Solanum lycopersicum: one gene and its partner. The protein of the gene in region 1 interacts with the protein of each later gene in a pairwise test. Links are inferred from orthologs where the notes say so. Each region holds a gene or a part of one and is shown in the gene's direction. Other genes may lie near its edges.

The links.
Region 2: the proteins of TCP4 (region 1) and protein FORGETTER 1 interact in binary tests that used the Arabidopsis thaliana proteins (3 or more experiments, as listed by UniProt). The link is inferred for Solanum lycopersicum from reciprocal best matches to the Arabidopsis thaliana genes TCP5 and EMB1135.

The regions. Positions count from the first base shown.
Region 1 is NC_090802.1:61,723,912-61,734,106, reverse strand, and holds TCP4 (TCP transcription factor 4), read left to right. Parts: upstream 1-4,888; 5' UTR 4,889-5,064; intron 5,065-5,349; 5' UTR 5,350-5,387; coding exon 5,388-6,413; 3' UTR 6,414-6,596; downstream 6,597-10,195.
Region 2 is NC_090809.1:682,501-693,574, reverse strand, and holds the start of protein FORGETTER 1, read left to right. Parts: upstream 1-5,611; 5' UTR 5,612-5,858; coding exon 5,859-6,302; intron 6,303-9,242; coding exon 9,243-9,308; intron 9,309-9,830; coding exon 9,831-10,004; intron 10,005-10,078; coding exon 10,079-10,209; intron 10,210-10,426; coding exon 10,427-10,503; intron 10,504-11,074. Other genes in the region: glyceraldehyde-3-phosphate dehydrogenase GAPCP1, chloroplastic, read left to right, coding at 483-572, 706-760; metal tolerance protein 9, read left to right, coding at 2,194-2,416, 2,675-2,787, 2,862-3,107, 3,180-3,260, 3,528-3,758, 3,867-4,211. UniProt on the Arabidopsis thaliana protein: Required for normal embryo development. Necessary to acquire heat stress (HS) memory, by modulating nucleosome occupancy and regulating heat-induced gene expression.

The DNA.
Region 1 (10,195 bases):
CTAAAAGCAATCTTCAACACTCCTTTGCTTTAGTTATTGCAATTTTTTTTTAAAAATAACCCTTCTCAATTTTTGCTTTGATACTTGATGCTAAAAAAATTTCATTATTCTTTAACTTGCAAAATTTCTTTTTTTTTTTTCATTTGGTTTTGTTTTTTAAAAAATACATGTGATGATATTGTCTTATGTAAAAGTTTTTTTGAAATTGTTTTAATCTGAACTTTTGTATAATTTGTAGAGAGATTGTAAGGGTTTTTCTTTCGTCACAACCTCACATATCACATAGATTTCAAAATATAATTTTATTCTCACACTAAATTTGATAGTTTTTGTATGTGAAAATTTGTGGGGCATGCTTGCCATTATTTTGGTTTAAAAATGATTCAAAAAAAAGTACGTGCTTTGAGAAAAGCACGGGTTAAAAAGGTAGCCTTGCTGGGTTAAAATGAATAGTCTTCATGGGTTAAAAAGGTTGTCCTTACAGGTTAAAAATGTATGATAGTTCTTTGAAAGATTTCAAAAATCACTTAAGATCAATGAAGTTCTGATACCATTGTTAGTGTTTTTCTAAAAGATGGGGCACCACAAAATGATTGAAAATGTTTCTTAGGATTGAAATAGTTAATATAAAATATATAACCTGCATAATTTAAAATTTAAACAATCTGAAATATCTCAACAACGTAAACAAACTAACTGAAATTCAAAATTCAAATTTATTTAAACTAAATAACTTATTTTGCTAAAAGTTACTGCAGCAAACTTCAACAGTTAATTATTCTTTTTTCGTTTTAATTTGTTTGATGCTTAAGAAGCTAAAGAAATTTTTTGAGTGTTATTGTCGAAAATGTTTTTAGTCTTGTAGTTAAATATCATTTTAAAAAATTGAAATTAAAGAACTGTTTTAAAAAAATTACTATAAAAATAGATCAAACAAATTAAAACAAAAAAAACTATCGAATAGGTAAGTGAGAGTTTATCCTTACATTTTTTGAGGGAAATAAGTGGTGATGATGCTGGCCAGTGCCCACACGTACTCCTTCTGGGCTTGAAGTTTAGTAGCAGTTGATAGCACAGTCCATTATTCATTCTGTTAGTCTGCAGGCCAGAAAAATAACAGATTCAGTACTAGTATTATATATGGGACGAAAATAAAAAAGATTTTTTAAATCTTGTAGTCTTATATTTAAAATATAATTAATATATTTTTTAATTTTGTAATCTTAAACATGTTGCGATGGAATTAAGTTGAAATTAAAGAGTTATAAAAAACAGAAAGAGATTATTCTTGTTTCAACAAATTATAAGAAATAGGACAAATAAATTATAACGAAGGAAGTAATTGTAATGTTTCTTAACAGTGGGGCAATAAGTTAATCATGTCAATTTATGATTTATTGCAACCTCTATTTCTGTTGTTGCTTAATTTGTTCTATATTTGGTATAACTTAATTCAAGCACAAATTAGATGAATATGAGTATTCTCTTAGGGCATGTGTGTTTTGACCTAATTAAATTGAAGTTCCTTCCTTCTATTTCTGAATAAATTTTGTGTAGTTATTTTTTTCGATATTTTGAACTCTATTTTATGCTAAGTGTTAGATTACTCACCTTTTTTTTCTTTTGTTGTCTGATTTATCACTGTTTTGTGAGCTTTCGCATGTCACCTAGTTATTTGGTAGGTTAACTTAAAGATTAAGATTAAGTAGGTAAATAATCAGTTTTTATCTAACAAATTAGTTGGGATTTACTAGTGGAAAATTTGACTAGCAACTTGTGAAATTTGTGGCTAGGGTTGTAAACATTGGATGCTTTTTTTGCTCAATATTTATGAACTAAAATTCAGTAATTATAGTATTAGCCTTTGGCCTGTTATGATTGTAGCCAACTCTACTCTTAGAGCAGATTGTGGCCTCTCAAAATATCCATTTTCATTATTGTATTCCTTAGGGTTTAGTGGTGGTAGAAAATAAAGATTAACCTATGAATCAATTATACATCAAAATTAAGTCTTATCGTCTTATAAGTTTGATGACAAATTCAAAATTCATATACTTCAATAGTAATTCTACCTCTGTCAGCATTAACATTTCATCATAAGCAAATTCAAAATTTAAAAATCAAATTTTATTCTACGTACACATACATTTTTTTTATAAAAAATATTAATATATAATTCGAAATCACAAAACCTTTCTCGCAATATCAATATTAATATATATTGAATATTTTTGGTGAATATACCTTCCCTTTTCCAGTTGATTTAATTAGCCAATGGAACAGTAGATTGGAATTTGATCATTCTAATATTTGTCCTTTTCTTTCTACCCTTGTTATTGAATGATAATAGTAATTAAATTTATTAGTGTTACAATACGGTGGTAAGATTGCTTTATCCTTAATTAAAAGTGTCACATTCGAGCCTTAAATATGAAGAAAATCTTGTTAGGAATATCACTCCTAAATGAGCTTGCAATACGCATCCAAATTTAATCAGGACTTTCAATTATTAAAATTAAATTCATTAAGTTAATCAGTGGGTTAAGTCCAAGTTGCTGCTACTGCTGCATGCAAAAAATCTCACTGCAAGTGGCCCATTTTTATATATATATATATATAATATATGTGTACTAAGTGCAAAGTCTTTTAAGAGGTTGTATATTATTATTATTGGTTTATTGGTCCCTCATCTACAATTGAGCATATATATAGCTTTGGGGATACCACTACATCTCCACTAGTTATTCTAATTACTAATAATTTGTTTCCTTTTTGAAACTTAAATAATTAATTACTCATCAACATTCTTTATTTTCATGTGTTTCCTAATCTTTAATTTCTTCATCATAATTATGTTAAAATCTTTCAAAAATGGCACTAACAAATTGTACATATATAGTTTCTTTATAAATTAAAAGATATTAATGTACAAGGATTTCTGGTATTTCTTTTCTGCTAATTTAATTGTGCATGCATATGTAGTAAAAGCTTTTCTCCCTTTTCTTCTATTCAATTTAGGTGACGTACTCGATTAGAAATCAACAATAACAATAACATGTTTAGTGTAATATATCTCATAAAAAAGTTTTGGAAAGGATGATATGTATATGGAGTTTCTCTCTATCTAGTGAAGATTAATAGATATTTTCCGATAGATCCTCGAATTAAGTAAAATATATTAAAGTTATTGAGAAAGGAATAATATAGTGAAGGAACCCTTGTAGAAAACAATGGAGAAAAGAAAATTATAAATAACAAATAGAACGATATTCGAAGTAATAAGAAAATAATAAATAAGTAGAATTAAAGAATAAGATAGTATAAGAGTACCCATAATAATACTGATAAAGAAAATTGGATCACTTTTAAATATTCTCTTCGATCACTTTTAATTGTCATGATTTTTTTTAGAGTGAAATGATAAGAACTTCGATTAATATTTTACCATGATTTTTTTTATCTTATTGATATGCCAAAAAAATGCAATTTGTAGTACTTCTAGTATAATTTTTGAATATCTAATAATCTAATTTAACTTTGAAAATTAATCAAATTGACTTTTTAAAACACAACATGACAATTAAAAACGAACAGAGGGAGTATGAGATGAGTTTAATTAGGATTCGCTTGGACATGCGATACAAATTATGATTTGAAATCAGATTAATTTGAGATTAAACTTTTGTTTGGATGAGTAATTTATATTTCTCGGGTTGTGTTTTTTCTTATAAACATGAAAAAAAAATTCTACAAATTGTATAAACCACCGAAATTTCTCCCATTCTTATACAATCTTAGCAAAGAGTAAAAAATAATTCATAAACAAGAAACTATAACATCCTACGACGCCACATTAAAAAATTACATATCTCCATATATCTTTTTTTATAAATAGAATATTACAATTAAAATTTTTAAATACACAATTATTTTATAAAAATCCACTATTCAACAATTGTAATAACGAGGGAAAAGGTCTGAAAAATACTTCAATTTTGATCGAAATTGCTATTTCGATATGAAACTTTATGGAGAACCTTTTAACCTTCCCCACTCCTCCAAACTATTTAATAGTGTATTTTAAAGGTATATTTATGTCCACGTAGACACATTACTATTTATAATTATGTAATATTTTTATGTCCACGTAAATACATATATACCTTTAAAATACACTATTAAATAATGTAGGGGTAAAATGTCTTTTCTAAAATTTGATACTACAACAATAATATCAATCAAAGTTCAAATGTATTTCACATCATTTTCCCTAATAACTGATTATTATTTAATATAATTATTCTACATGTAACCGACAATATCTCACAACAAACATATATATATATATTCAAAATTTTAAATTCGGATGATTAGTCATTTATTTTAATTTGTACTACTACTATAGTTTGCAGAAAAGCAATAAACCCTTTTCTTTTTTTTTTCTTCTAACCCTAGAGTGGTCCTTGTGAGGTTAACAGTGTACCTTCCTTTCTTAGCATCATTAAATAGAATCAAAACTTAAAATTAAAATATGAAACTACTACAATAACTAGCTTCTTGACTAATAGACTGTTAAAAAAAAAAAACTATTCATGATGGAGTAGTCTAAATACGAGAAATTAAATTTCTATTACATTATTATTTGTAGCCTATGGACAAAGAATTATCGCGATTATATATACAAATACTATAAAAGTTTATATACACAGTAGATACATAATACTTAAAACTTTACATTTTTCTCAACCCTAGAATTGAATTACACACGAGTAAGCGCCACGTGGCCTTCTACTTTCCTCTTTTGAGATAATATTATAACATAGTGAGAATCTAACATTGCTTCTTTTTCTACAAACCATAACTTATCCTTGTAAATTTATTCTCTCTTGTTTCTCTTTTGGTCAAATTTTGTCCATAAACTCATTTTTTCCCCCAAGCCTTGGGAGAAATTATTATAAAAGAAGTTAAATGTTATCAAGAGTTGTTAATTCCATGTTGAGATTTTGCTAGCCACTCAAAGATATATATACAAGTTGTAGTTTATCTTCTACAAAACCTAATTATGTAAGTACAATTCATGATTCTTATAGTAGTAATTGTTTATACAAAATTTTAAACATCTATTTTTTTAGATCTTAGTCATTTTTACAAAGTCTTGGGTGTTTAGTGAAATGATTTTGGAGGTTACCCTAATATTAATCACAACTCCAATTTTCCCCCAAAAATTGCACTATGTACACAAGAAAATTTCCATTGATGGAGTTTTTTTTTTTTGTGTGTATAGTATAATTTGATAATATTTTATCTCGATCTAATAGATGCTTAATATTTTTCTTTGATTTTTACTAGATCGATGCTGATGAAGAACGATATATGATATACATATCATGAATTCATCGAGTGGAAATAATTTTGAGACGAAACAAGAATCAAATAATGATAGTAGATTGGCCTCAAAGACGACTAGTGCACCACCATCGAGTACTTCAAGGCAATGGGGAGCTAATAAAAACCCAAGAATAGTACGCGTATCGCGTACTTTTGGAGGGAAAGATAGGCATAGTAAGGTGTGCACCATAAGGGGGCTTAGAGATCGAAGAATTAGACTATCAGTTCCAACTGCAATTCAATTGTATGATCTACAAGACAGGCTTGGCCTGAGCCAACCTAGTAAAGTTGTAGATTGGCTCTTAGAAGCGACTAAACTTGATATCGATACTCTTCCTCCACTTCCTGTACCACCTGAGTACTTCACTCGGTTTCAACAACCATCTCATGAAGAGTTCTCTGATGTCCGTGCTCAATGGTTGAACGCGAACACATCTTATTTGGAACATGGGAGGAACAAGTCAATCGCTTCAAATGAGGAATCAAATCAAGAGGATAATATGTTTACCTTAGGAAATCAACGATCATCTAATTTACCAGGCATGCCTTTCAATTCTTATAACTATCAATGGGATCATCAGCCTAATTCGAATTTGTCTTTAGGTCATTTTGGACATAATCATTCATTTTCATCCCAAATAGATGATGATCAATCTCATCAAAATACTAGTTTCCCTCTATCTTTGGGATCATCATCTTCGCCTTTTCCCTCGAGTTCTCAATTGTATTTCAATCCAATAACAACAACATTTCAACCTATAGTTCCATCTCCTAACTATATAACAAATCATCATCCCATTGAGAGTCATGATCCAAGGGCTAATATGAACCATTTCAATTTCTTAAGCTCAACTACTTCACACAATAATCAACTTGTGATGCCAACTCTTAATTTGATTAGTTCCCAAATGAAACCCTTTAGTCTCAATAATGATCCTAGATGGATGAGTTCCAGAGATGATGAAGATGACGATGATGACGATGATGATGATGATAATCAACCACATGAAGGTCGCGCAATTTGATTCTAAGCCAAGTGGAGGAAATGAATCTTCGTCTTTACTTCAAATATTTTGAATTAAAGTTGTTGTCCTGGATTATAATCATGCTACATTATTCCTTCTTCACAGGTACAACAAATAATTAAAGTGAATCATTCTATTTCTTATACCATATAGGTTTATAAAGTTTTAATCTCTATTCTGAAATATACAAATATTAATCTGTAGTTTTTTTTTTTGGGTGATTCAAGTGGTATAAATCTACATTATTATTGGTATTGGATTAACCTTTAATTTATACAAATTGAAAGTGTGTTTAGCATTAATTTTTTCAATTTTGTTTTTCTTGGATTTGCATCATTAATATGTCATGGTTTAACCGAAATCTCGATAGTAGAAACTCTAATCGAAGCAAAGGTTGGGTTTATTCTCGACTCTCACAACCTTAAGGTAATTGCAAATATGATGCAACAGATCTGGAACTATAGTTACGTAGTCAAGTCAATCAGTTGTTGTTGGTATCTTCTTCTCATTTTTCTTTATTTCATTATCAGAGCTCCGAGAAGTAAGAGATAAAGATGTTGAAGAATATAGTGAAAAATCCATAATAGGATCTAACCACAAAGTATGAATGATTTTAGCCAATAAAAATATTTTATAGAAGGTAAACGAAACTATTCAAGTTCAATTTTGTCATGTAAAATTGATACATAACATATCATGCTTAGCTGTGTACTAATGATAGACGTAATAACTAGTAATATAATTAATTACTCCATTAATTTGTTTTAATCTAACTAGAAAACAAAAAGTTTCTTTCATATCTAATTAGGTTTTTAGACGAATTAGTTGGAAAATAAGAGGAAGAAACTTAAAAGTTTTACTCTTTTAAGAATGAGTCTTAGGTCTCATTTGTTTTCATTAAGATTAAGATGTTAGAATCTTAATGCTTGTCTGAACATTAAAATGTAGTTTCTAGATTTGAACACTAAATGATTATTTATTTTCAATATATGAATGTGCATGATATTTTTTAAAAAAATTAGGAATTAAATATTATATCAAAAAAAGTTATAATCTAAACCAAGAATACTTCTTCTAAAAAATTGTTTCAAGAATAAGATTATAACTCATCCCTAGAAAAGACGATTTATTTGTTTTCTCATGAAACAAAGATAACTTTTCCAAAGAAGTTTTGACAACAAACGAATTGTGACATGAAGAATTTTTCATAAATATCAATTCACCCAAGAATATTGTATACATTAAAAATATTATGTAAATACTTGTAAAAGATTATGAAAACTTACTTATTCAAAAGAAAAAAAAATATTTGGTTGGAAAATGAGAGGAAGACTTAAAACTTGTCCTGAAGAGAAGCAAGGAAGAAGAAAATGTGTTTATGAAAGAACTTCTATTATTTCAATAGAGTAAGATGGTATTAAGACTCTGTTATAAATCTGATTCATTCAGATTCATTAAGACCCAATAAGATTTTTTTTAAAAAAAGAAACAAATAGACTTAATGGAATGAATCTTAATGATTAAAATCAAACCTAAAATCAAACGCACTTATGGGTTGAATCTAAATGATTAAGATTCAGACTCTCATTAAGTGCAAACAAATGAGGCATGTCTTACGTTATAAAGCATGAATAGGTGTCGAGTTCAAGTCTCAATGCCACTCATTATCGGATTTTCACGTTATTAGAGTCGGGTGGTACTAGAGACATACACTACACAAAAAATGATCAATAGCTTAAGCCTATCTCGGCATTGAATCTAATAATATTTAACTAATATCGGTAAAATTTTTAATACTTTTGGTAAATATTAATGTGCATATTTATTTTTGTTAAAAGTTATTTTTGTCGTAGTGATATAGTGATCCATCACTAACATACTTCCTTATTTTGTTTTTGATGCAAGCTATTCTTATAAACAAAATTTAGTTGTTACTCTTCTTCTTTTTTTTTACCCTCCTCGGAAGTTCTCACCTTTTTGCTTCTTTGGTAACTAAAACTCGCAACCTTCGAATTGAAAGTGAAGGATACTTTTCATGCGAGCAACTTTCTCTCGTCTAAGATGTTTCTCTATAAATTGCAATCATTTTTTTTACACTACTCTAATTTGCTTGTTATTTATTGGAAGTAATTAACCTGTATGAGTTAGAATATATTGGCAGATCTTGGACTTAATTGTTTGTGAGACCACAACGATATTTGGGACCAAAAGCATCTAAAAGTTGCTTCCTGGAGCTTGAAAATAATCTATATTATTATTGTACAATGTTGACAATTCCTCTCCATACTATATCCACCTAGCCTTAAATATCATATGAGATGGTCACACACTTTTACATATGGTATCAGTGTCACGTGTTTGGCCTACGAAAAGAGAGTCACGCCCACACATAATCACGAGACATATTGAATATGCTTTCTCTAAGAAACTGATAACTTAAATTTTTAGATAAGATGATTACATATTTCAACGTTCCTAATAAACGGAGTTGAATTTTATTATCTGCTATCTATGAAACTGCATGCCTGCAAAATTGAAGAAGTAATTCCTTGTTAGTTGTTACTATGTAGTATATTAGTTATTATCAACATGGATTGTGGTGTATTACTAGTCGGGAGTGTTTTATTTTTAATCAGAGATATTGGGTTCGAGCTCTTGGTATGGAGAAAATACTATTTGGAGCGTTACCTTGAATGGACCCTGCAGTGCGCGATCTAGATTTAATTGAAGTTCTAATGTGAATTCTAGACACTAAACGAAAAATTAAAAAAATAATAATTATTACTATACCCTATTTGCCGACCTAATCAACCCTTTGTATCTAAATTAATAATTAATTAGCTTGATATAGACATAGATGTAGAATAATAGTATAGTCATATATAGGAATGGTATATTTCCCCGCATGCATATAGATGCATGTTAAAGTCCACCTCCTACGCTCATCAACCACTTAATTAATGTTGTCAAGATAAGTTTAATTTTCTCTTAACTAATTAAACATGTAATTGGCATTCTACGTATATTATGACAGGTAGGATATATATAAGTTCATTTGTTTAATTTTATATACGTGTAAATATCTACTTGTGTACGGAGCATAAAATTTTTTGAAACACCTTGAAGTATTAAAAATGTCATGTTTGTTGCTTGTTAAATTAAAAAGAAAAAGATACAGTCTTTTTTAAATAGTGTAAAAAAAAAAGAAGGTAAAACGAATAAATTTGTCCATGTACTCTTCGAAATTAATTAAGTTGTCCCCTGGTTCTTTTCTAACCCTTCTCTACAAGCTTCGATCCATTTTTGCTCTCTTGGTTACTCAAACTTACAGTATTTATATTATTGAAAGTGAGTGGTGTTTACCATCTCTCTCGTTAAAACTGCTTTATTTACTTTTGGTCCTTTCATGTCCATTGTCATCATTAGTGAAGCATCTAGTATTTTCCCTTATCTGATGAATCTCCAACGTGAAATATGTTATAGAATTGGAATGTGCAGGTGTAGAGCCTAATTAATTAGCTTAGGATTAGTCTTTAAACATTGATAAAATTGATTGATATAGTAGAGTCCAATCCCAATTGAACATAGAAGACATAACTATATATATATATAATATAATGAAATTATTGTCTCGAATAGAGAGGTAAGAAAATAAAATATAATGGAAAAAGTTTTTTTTTATGTCCAAATTTACCCTTCAACTTTTTTGTATGGTACAAATGTACCCTTCAACTTTTCAGTATGGTTAAAAATTATCCTAAGGTTGAAACTTTCACTATGGA
Region 2 (11,074 bases), on another chromosome or scaffold:
AATACATGGATATTTAAATACAGAACTTCATTGAATATACCAAACGAAAGTGGCTAAAAACTAATCCCAACATTACGTTACATCCTATCCGGTACTATTCTTAGACACCCTACCAGACGACCCCTAAGTGTAATAGTATTTTGGAGTAGCCAATATCTCAACTTTTGCTGAATAAACAACACGTTTTTTAATATGATGCCAGATTGATTTATTAACAATAATAGAAAATTCCTCCTGATAAGTAACGACATTTATATATAAATTAGTCATTTGGCAGTGCCATCATTAAGTGGTACACTAAAGTATAATTATCCAAAGATAAAAGGGTTGTGCTATGAACTGAGGACACGAGTATTAGAGGACAGTGCCGTGTAGGATATAAGTGGACAAAACTGCTAATAGTTTTAATTTTGAATGATATACTACTACAACTACTGATTTGAAGCTATGCTGAATTTCTAATTAATTAATTTGGTATGTAGATCAAGCATATTTGATGCTAAAGCTGGTATAGGCCTGAGCAAATCATTCGTGAAGCTCGTCTCCTGGTATGATAACGAGTGGGGTTACAGGTATGACTTTTTATCTCTGAACCAACCATCCCAAACAAGAAAGTTAAATGACAAAAAATGAGTTGAAACCTTGTCCATACTACTATATCACATAACTGTTGACAAAGTTGTATTGTAATCTTAACCTTTGCAGCAACCGAGTATTGGACCTCATCGAGCACATGGCGTTGGTTGCATCCATCCATTGAAATACAATATAATACTAGCTACTGCAGAGTTTGGCGCAAGCAATATTTTGTATTTGAAAAAGTTGTGGAGTAGAATGCTCCATTTTGGTTATGGATTGAGTTTCATTACTATCGTACTTTAGTTTACAATAATTAAACAGTTGGACATGTATGATTGATTATATGCTGTCTTTTCACAAGGATGTAATTTTATACTCTTGCTACTATGGAGAAGTGGCAATTTTCTTGCTTAAAAGGAGAGCACACAATTTGTTAATTTGCCGATTACTTCTGAACTTAATAGATGATATCTAACTGCTACAATTACACTCTTGATTCTCTGATTCACATTGTCATCGTGAAGGCTTATATATATCAAAAACTAAATAGTTTAAAAACAAGTGTCTCTGATTTGTAATCTACTTGTAGTTGTAGGATGAGTGGTGCTTCCAATTTGTGCTTTATGAAGCACTTGGAATAGAAAAGGACAAAAAAACGAATGTTTAGTGCATATTCTTTTTCACTTTCATGCCTTGTTTTTAAATGTATAATGGAGAATGACGCATCATAAAGCTAGTAAAAGAAGAAAAAGGCTGCAAGATTCATGCAGCAATGTTATATGTGGAGTAGTTGGTTTTTTTGCCAATTAAAGTTTGAATGCTACGTACTCCGTATTTCTTATCTGATAAGACTTACTAGTACTCACTTAAGGGTTAAGAGTTGTAGTCCATTCGAATTATTGAGTTTTAAATTAATAACTTATACATATCTAATATATTTCTTGAGGCAAATATAGAAATTTGCTCAAACTACTACGTGCTCAAAAGGAGTACTATAACTTTATCATTATTAAAGAAGAAAGTATCTAACTTTAATTAAATGACGACTTATACAGACTTGCTCAAGTAGTTGAACAGTCATCACTGATCTGATCGGTTAAAAGTTTGAATTATGTTAAAGGGTAAGTGAGAATATTATTGATCTTTTCGAAATGAGTCGGATAAATGAGAACATTATTAATCCTCTCGAAATGAGACGGATAAGTGAGAACATTATTGATAGTCAGAACATAGATATGGATAGATGACTGTTGTCGTGCTGCAATGGAGTAGATATCAAATGCATGATGACTGTTAAGTAAAACAATATTTTTATAATCCAATTCTACGTCCATACTAACATGTACTAGGGTAATTTAATTCATTTTTTTGCAAGTATTTTAATGCCTTTTTCATTTCCTCAGCTATTTGATTTTACATGTAAATTAAGAAGAACGAAAACATTTTTATATATATATAAGAACTTTCAAATATAAAAATGCATTGTTAACTGATTTTATCATAAAAATATTGTGGTTAACAATAACCATAAAGATGATGACTCTTACTATATAAACAGCAGAAAAACTAATTGTTCAGTAATATCAGTACGTAACTATTACGACTACTATAAACATGGAGATCAGTCGGAGTAATGTTGGTGGCGGCAGCAATGACGGCCCTCTGTTCGACAGTTTTAGGACGGAACTGCTGTCTCCGGCTGCCCAGGCGGTGGTTGATCAGATTCAGTCATCATCTTCCGCGTCATGGAGGCTTAACGTTAGTGAATTTCATCTTCCAGAGCAACGACGCTCTGATCCTCGCTGCTTCAGTGTCCGTCGTCTCCTTCCCACTCCCAGTATGTATCTGTTCCAATTTATGTAGCACAGTTCAAATTTCGAGAGTCAAATAGTTTAATTTGGGCTTGTAATCTTCAAACAATTCCAATTTATGTAGCACAGTTCAAATTTTGAGAGTCAAATAGTTTAATTTGGGGATAAATCTTCAAATGTAAAATACAGTCAATTATAAACTTGTTTGAATTTCGAAATTCAAAAAGTAAGTAGGAATTCATTTTCCAGTCGCGATTTCTGTTCTATTGCGTGATAATTTACAGGGAAACAGGGTAAAATCGCGGAATATTACAAAAGGCAGGAAAGGCTTGTAGAAGGGTTCAATGAGATGGATACCATTAATGAATCTGGTTGTTTACCTGCAAGTCTAACTGAGGTTTGTTTGTTTGTTTCTTTAAATTGCTCGAGAAGGCGTAAATTGACTCTTGCAATCATTGTGTACTTTATCAGGACGAAATGAAGCAGCTTGCTAGGAGTGAAAGGATGGCTATTCATTTATCAAACATGGCTAATGTGTTACTATTCGTAGCAAAAATATACGCATCTGTTCAGAGTAAATCATTGGCTGTTATAGCATCGACGTTGGATTCTCTGTTAGACCTTTTATCCGGGTTTATTCTGTGGTTTACTTCTAATGCCATGAGAAATCCAAATCAGTATCACTATCCTATTGGGAAAAAAAGGATGCAGCCTGTGGTGCGTGATCATACTCAGTTTAATTCATTTGTTCTATTGTTTTCTTAACTCATTCATTGCTATTTCGTTCAGGGTATTATTGTTTTTGCATCTGTAATGGCAACACTAGGATTACAAATACTGTTTGAGTCTGCAAAAGAACTTATAAATCAGGTATGTCAATTGCTGAGAATGGATTTTGCACAGCAGCTGCTACCTTATGATGATTGAGTTTTGAAAATTTGAATTCGTACTACTAGAGATCAATCGTTAGAATTTGTCCCTCGATTTTGAAATACTAGGAAACGGAAGGGCAAAACGATAGGTTTTGGTACTTCTACTGTTGAATAGATATTGCAATTTCACTAGCAACTGCATTACACTTGACTTGTTAACCTGCATTTGTTGTTTGGATGGTTCTATCTATGTGTATGAGATCAGTCTCGCCCTGAGATGGATCACGAGAAGGAAAAATGGACGATTGGGATTATGGTCTCGGTCACAATGGTCAAGTTTCTGCTTATGGTCTACTGTAGAAGGTTCAAAAATGAAATTGTAAGAGCTTATGCCCAAGACCATTTCTTTGATGTCATAACCAACTCAGTTGGATTAGTGACTGCTGTCTTAGCAGTCCGATTCTACTGGTGGATCGATCCTGCAGGAGCTATCATAGTGAGTTCACAATCACAAGTCACAACTTTCGATTAGTAGCAAGACATTGTTTCACACTGCTGATAATCTTAAAAGTCTTTATATATATATAACACATTGTACTTTCAGATAGCTCTGTACACAATTAGCACGTGGGCGAGGACAGTAGCAGAAAATGTCTGCTCACTCATAGGAAGAACAGCTCCACCAGACTTCCTTACGAAATTAACCTATCTTATATGGAATCATCATGAAGAGATCAAGCACATTGACACGGTTAGAGCATATACTTTTGGCGTAAATTACTTTGTGGAAGTTGATATAGTGTTGCCAGAGGACATGTTTCTGAATCAGGCACATAATATTGGTGAAACACTGCAAGAAAAACTGGAGCAACTCCCTGAAGTAGAGCGTGCTTTCGTCCATATTGACTTCGAGTTTACTCACAGGCCAGAACACAAAATCACAGTGTAATGACATACATACTAGTTGCATCAAGGACCTTTACTCAAAATAATATTTATGTTGAGTTGAATCCATGAATTATTCAAGATCATTGGCTTAGTCCAGATGAAAGAAAAATCTAGCGAAGTTTCTTTGTTTGATAAGGTAACAATTTTATTATTGAATTGAGCAATAAAAAGCTAGTTGAAAACAAGAAGTATATCAAAATGTAGAGAACTTATAAAAAACGGATATTCAGATACTTATTCAAATTCACACATCTTATGAGATCTTAATATGAGACCTCAATCTTATTATAAAAAAATGGATATTCAGATACTTATTCAAATTCACACATCTTAATATGACCTTAATCTTATAAACAAAAGAAATACTATGGGTGCACCAAAAGGAATCATGGACAAAAGATTTACTCTTCTTTTTTTAATCAAGATAAAGAATGTCATTGAGATAGATTGTTTTTGTTATTTTTATTGTTTGAACGCCTCTAAAGAAAAAAGGTGATATAATAGGTTAGAATTTGTTCTCTCGCTCCTTGCTGGAGGAGCGACATACCAGAAAAAAAGCCCTTTTTTCATGAGCTTAAGTATTATAATCACTAATGAGTTGTTGGCGAGAATTATACAATTTTGATATCGCTTTATCTTTAGCTTGTATAATTACAATCATAAATTAGATTTTTAAAGTTATTTAAGAGTTGCAAAATTATAGTTATTAAATAAGAGATGAGATTTAATCGTGAGCTCAAACTTTTGAAAAACGGGTCAATGAATCAGGCGAGTAAATTTTTTAAATAAATGAATTTTATTTTAATATCAATCTATCACGTTCAAATTTAGAAATATCAAGTTCTGAATATTTTATTTGATGTGAATGTCCACTATTAAATGTAGTTTCTCCATTACGATTCACTATTGTGTTCCACCTCCTCAATGATCTCTATTTCTTCTAACTTCCATGTCTCCCATATTCTCCATAATCTTTTTCTTTAGGAGTCTTTTGATAATTAGATAAGAAATGAGTTATTTATATATTAATTTTCATGTAACTTAATCAACATGTGATTGATAGAAAGAAAATAAGTTATTAATTATAGAATTCATAAAACGTTTGATTAAACATCCCATATAACTAATACCTGGTTATATGTATATGTTGCAAGAATATTTACATATTATTTTATGCAAGATGAAATGTATAATAACAATCTTATGAATAACTAATCCCTGCATGTGCATGATTAATACATTATACATAAATTCGCTCATAATAATTTCTACATCACTATTTACATAACTCTAACTAGCTATCAAATAAAGAATGTAAAAAAAAAATTAATCGAGGATATTTATGTGTCATTCTTAATACATTAGGGGTAACTTTAGCCATTTTCCATTCTTTTATGGGCCAAACAACTCAAATAAAAACTCACTCGTCCATTTATCTGTGTAAAGTATTGCGACTCGCCGGAAGCGGGAGCATCAGCCCCAAAGCCCATGAATTAAGGACAACCCAAAACTCACCGGACATCGCCGGCCTCCTCCGCCGGCTGTTTAGTTGACGGAAACTTCTGTTCTCGCATCGTCACTACTGAATTCAGTCACAACATTTCAGTACATTTTGATTTCAACGTTTGTTAATACATATAGTAATAATATGGGACAGCAATCGGTGCCGACACCTTCAGTTAATCTTCCATCTCTACCACCACCGTCGGCGAGTAGTTCAGATAGTGGAGGAGGTTGTCAAGTTCGATGTGCTGGTTGTAAGATGATTTTGACAGTCGCTCCCGGACTGACAGAGTTTATATGCCCTACTTGTCAATTGCCGCAGATGCTACCTCCGGAACTCATGCCTCAGCAGCAGCGAAGCAGTGCCCTGGCTCATGGAATTGATCCTACCAAGATCCAGTTGCCCTGCGCTCACTGCAAAGCTATACTCAATGTCCCTCACGGCCTGTCTCGCTTCTCCTGCCCTCAATGTGGGATCGACCTTGCCGTTGATGTATCTAAGATTAGGCAATTTCTTCCTCAGTCGTCATCGAATCCTGCTGCTCCCCGTCCCCCTGCGCCACCTCTGCCTGAGGAAGAAGTCAATGAGGTTTTCAGTCAAAACTAATCTTCCCAACCCCATTTTATTGTATTCTTAACAAAATAACCAAAATTTGAAGGCAATGTTTTTGAACTTCCCCACTTGTGGGATTACACTGGGATTTCTATGGGATTTCCAAAATCAGTGTTCGTTATTCCTTTTCTGCCACGATGAGATTAGTACCTATTGGATGGCTTTTATTTTATGTATTGCGCGTGGTTGCCAGTTTTACTTTAACCATACTAACTGTTTTTTTGTTGCTCTTAACCAAAATTTTCCACATAAAGCTAGCCTCGCTAAACAACCATATATTTCAATTAGTTGATTTCTAAGTAGCTTAAGGTATAAAAAATCAACTAGAAGGTTATTGACAAAGTTTGAATGCCAGACATATCTGTTGGAGCATCTTATAAGGATTATGCTGTGTAGAATCCTATCATAGAGAAGTTTGAGAAACATCTTGCATGGTGCCCAAAAAAGAAAACTTTCATAAGGAAAGTAGCTTTGAATCTTGATAGAGAGTAGGGTGGAGCTAGGAGGGTGCAAGGGATTCACCTGGATCCCTTTTCTTTTGGAAAAGTATACTACATTGTACATGCAAGTTTAAGGCTATTCTTTAATATATAGTAGATGTTGAATCCCTTTGGCTTCTTTGTTTGTTTACTTTCTTTGTTTTGAATCTCCTTATTGAAGATAGTGGCTCAACAACTTCTCTAACATACCAATCTATTATATATCGTTGATGTTCATCCATGTAAGTGTGGTGCAAAAGTTGGAAAGAATGCTGAGGAACGTCTGATGGTATGAACATAGGAGGTGAAGAAGTATCCTTGAGTTAAGTGGGGACCCTTGGCTCGAGTATAACATATCAAAATAATGAAAAAAAAGAGGGGAAATGATAGTGGAGAAACAAAACAACTAATAAGGAAACAGTAACAACCACAAAATAATGCAATAAGCTAAACACAATCAACAACAAGTAATGCTGGAATCAGAAGCCAGATTCTATTAGAAAACAGCTAAACCCCTCAAAAATCAAGACAACACTCTATACTTACTAACCTTTTATCGCATTACGCGATATATATATATATATATATATATCAATCTAAACTTCTCGCCTTGGTCATGGATGTAGTCAAGGCACCCAAGGTAAGTTGACCAAATCTGGTGTGGATCCCGTACCCACACCCCTGTTGTGTCGACATGGTGTCCTTCCTCTGGCATACAAATCCTTCCATTTTTTTTCTTCTTCCCTTTCACTATTGTGTTATCAAATGACCAGTTATCAATATTGTTCTTTGTAGGTCTAGTGATAGTTATTGTTTCCTCTAATGTAGATTCTAACAAGTAACATGTAGTTTTTTTTATGGGAATCTCTATATGTACCCTGTTATGCAAAATTCTTTGCTTTAACTACAGGTAAACAATTTCATATTATAAACCAAAAGGCCAAAAAAATCTGCTGTATACAAGAAGTATACCAAAAAGTAAAAATCTACAAAAGATATGGTTCTCTACAAAAGACGCCCAATCCTCTATAGATCCCGGTAGCCTTATGTTGATGATGCCTAGTCAGAAGCAAAAAATTAATTTCCGTATCCAACATCTATCTGGTTTATTAATGCCCAACAAATTATCTCTCGCACATTAGATCTCAACATTAGCTCATAAGAAGCAAAAACAAAAATTAGGCATTAAATCAGTTTAGCATTAACTTACAATAATTTTTTGTAGAGACACCCAAACGGAAACAAAAGAAACAATCAACCTTTTGGGAAAGAGGGTGATGCACGGAGAAACTGATAAAACTCATGGAGGGACAGAGGGTTGACAAAAATATGAAGCAAATGCTAAAAATAAATAATATTCCCTCCGTTTAAAAAAGAATGACCTAGTTTTCTTTTAGTGTGTTTAAAAAAGAATGACCCCCTTTTTTTTGTCAACACTTTAGCTTCAACTTTTGATGTGACATGTTTAAGGCCCAAGATTAAATGACATTTTGGTACATTTGACATAACTTTTATTTAGAACCACAAGATTTAGAACTCTTCTTTCTTTTCTTAAACTCCGTTCCAAATTAAACTATGCCATTCTTTTTGAAATGGAGGGAGTAATGGACAGCACTGTGTCAAAGAGGTTAACACCAAGACCAATGAAGATCAGGTGTAGCGTAAACAGTTGAGCCTCACCATAACATTATTGATATTCAGCAAAAATCGATCAATAAGCACAGACTAATTTAGGGTTAACACTGCAACAACTTCTTGTTGAGGAATTTTATATCCTCTGCTTAAGATATCAAATAGTAATAGAATTAGTAACAGCAAAATATAAAGACATAAGTGAGAGTAGAAATAGAAGAAGGAACCATAGAAATTGTACTATACAAAGAACCATCCACTAAAGAAGGAACAAAGAAGCAGAAGGAAAATGGGAAATAAAAAGGTAAACACGTGTCACGAAAAAGAGGAGAATTGAATTGAAGTGTATATAAGAGAAGAGAAAAGATATTCAGTACCAAAGACATATGTCCATGTATGATAAAAAAGAGTAAGGTTCAAGTGTATAGTTTATATTACTTTTGGTACAATTGCCCAGTGCAATGTTCGTACATCCCCTTCGTAAATATTTGTTACTTTTGGTATAACTGTGCACTTCAGTGTTCATCCCCTCCTCATTTATATATAGTAGAAAAGTACAAGTCTAAGTAGCATTTTCTGTATCACCAGAATAGTGTTCTAATGAGAAAGGTTGTGCTCAACAATTAGAACTTATGGAACAATTTTTGATGGATCAGGCTCAATAATTGCAAACTCTTCTGGTTAATTATTTCTGCCGCTCTCTTCTGACCAGATGATGTGTATACACCAATCGACCTTATTTATATCGTATAGGAAACTTTGTTCCATATTTTTTAGTTCTCAACATTGCATCGTGATGTTTCAGGTGGCCATTGAAGTAGAACGTGAAGAAGACGAGGGTGGCATGGTTGGAGAAACTTTTATGGACTACGTATGTTTTCTTTGCTATCTCAGCATTTACTCCTAGTAATGTAATAGTGGGAGAAATATGTGTTTTGCCTTCAATTATTTTTAATATGTAAAATTCTGTAATGTTGTAGAAGAGAGAATGGGAGAACACGAAAAGCCTGTGATAATGGCTGTAGAGAGTGGGATGGAGTAAAAGAGAGATGAATATGTTACTTTTGTTACAATGACTGACAACTTAGCAATGACTTTATTAACTGTTCGAATTTCTTTGCTAACCAGTTTAAAAAATAGAGAGGTTATTGTAAGCCTATCATTGGAGAAACGTGTGATACCGTTTTGTGGATGCTAACTCCAACAATCCCCTCCTCTCCCTAAATGTGGTCGCGTGATACCGTTTTGTGGATGTTAACTCCAACAATCCCCTCCTCTCCCTAAATGTGGAAGCACATAATATCATCATTGAATATAACCTTTTGAGATTTTCATGTTAGCATGTTCATGTTGATCCTCTTCATTCTTATTTTCTTGTCCTGTTTTAACACAGCGGCCTCCCAAGCTATCTATTGGACCTCCGCATCCTGATCCTATCGTGGAGACATCTTCCTTATCTGCAGTACAACCACCTGAACCCACCTATGATCTTACGATCAAAGAGGACTTGGAAAGCTCTAAAACATTGTCCTGCCTGCAAATTGAGACATTGGTTTATGCTTGTCAGGTTGCTATTCAAACTCATGTTACTCAACTCTGTTAGTAGGCTCTTAGCTTATAGTTACTGTTTTCCTGTAACAGAGACACCTTCAGTTCCTTCCAAATGGTACTAGAGCAGGATTTTTTGTCGGTGATGGTGCTGGTGTGGGGAAAGGACGAACAATTGCTGGACTAATATGGGAGAATTGGCACCATGATAGAAGGAAAGCATTGTAAGTTCTCAAGTAAAAGAAGTACATTGCTGTACTTACCACTTAAAAGATTGCATTATTGAATCTTAATCTATTCTAATATCCATTTAATGGTTGTCTCCTTGTTGCTAAAATGATGACTGTACTCCTAAAGAATCTGTTTTTCTTCGTTTATGATCAAACACATGATAGTTTCTACGATTAAATCTTATTGTTTCCTCCTAATGCTTTTCCCCAGGTGGATTTCTGTTGGTTCGGATTTGAAATTTGATGCAAGACGAGACATGGATGATGTGGGAGCTACATGTGTAGAAGGTAGTTACTGAGAATCTTCAGTATGGTCTTGGTTAAATGCTGCATACGATCTACCTATTCCTTTCTCCGTTTGTTTATGTTAGTTTGTGCTTTTGTGTTCTTTGATGCTTACCCATTCCTTAAGCTTTTGAAGTTTAAGGGATATAAACTTCGAGCACCTTTTTGCTTTCTATGTTCTTTTTTCTGGGAACTGCAGAGATCAACTGATAACTCTGGGAGCCTGGATAGACGCTGTCGCAATGGGGTCTTAACTACTCTATTAGAATCTAAGAAAGGAAATACAGATAAGATGTTGACTTTGTAGTTTGGGACAGTTATGACTATCTTTCGATATATGTACTTGGGTTATTTGTAGTAAGTGGTCAAATTTGGTTATTTTGGGTCAATTCATGATGTATATGTACCACATTCTACTGTTTTCTATGAGTTGCTTTTGTTGGTGGAATGCTACTTAAGATTTTTCTGAGTTATCAACTGAATGTATTATATTGTGAAATCGTGCATGGATTTTATGTGATTTTTTTTTTGGATAAAAGTAACATGGTTTTTTATGCAAATTTTTTCCTTTTAT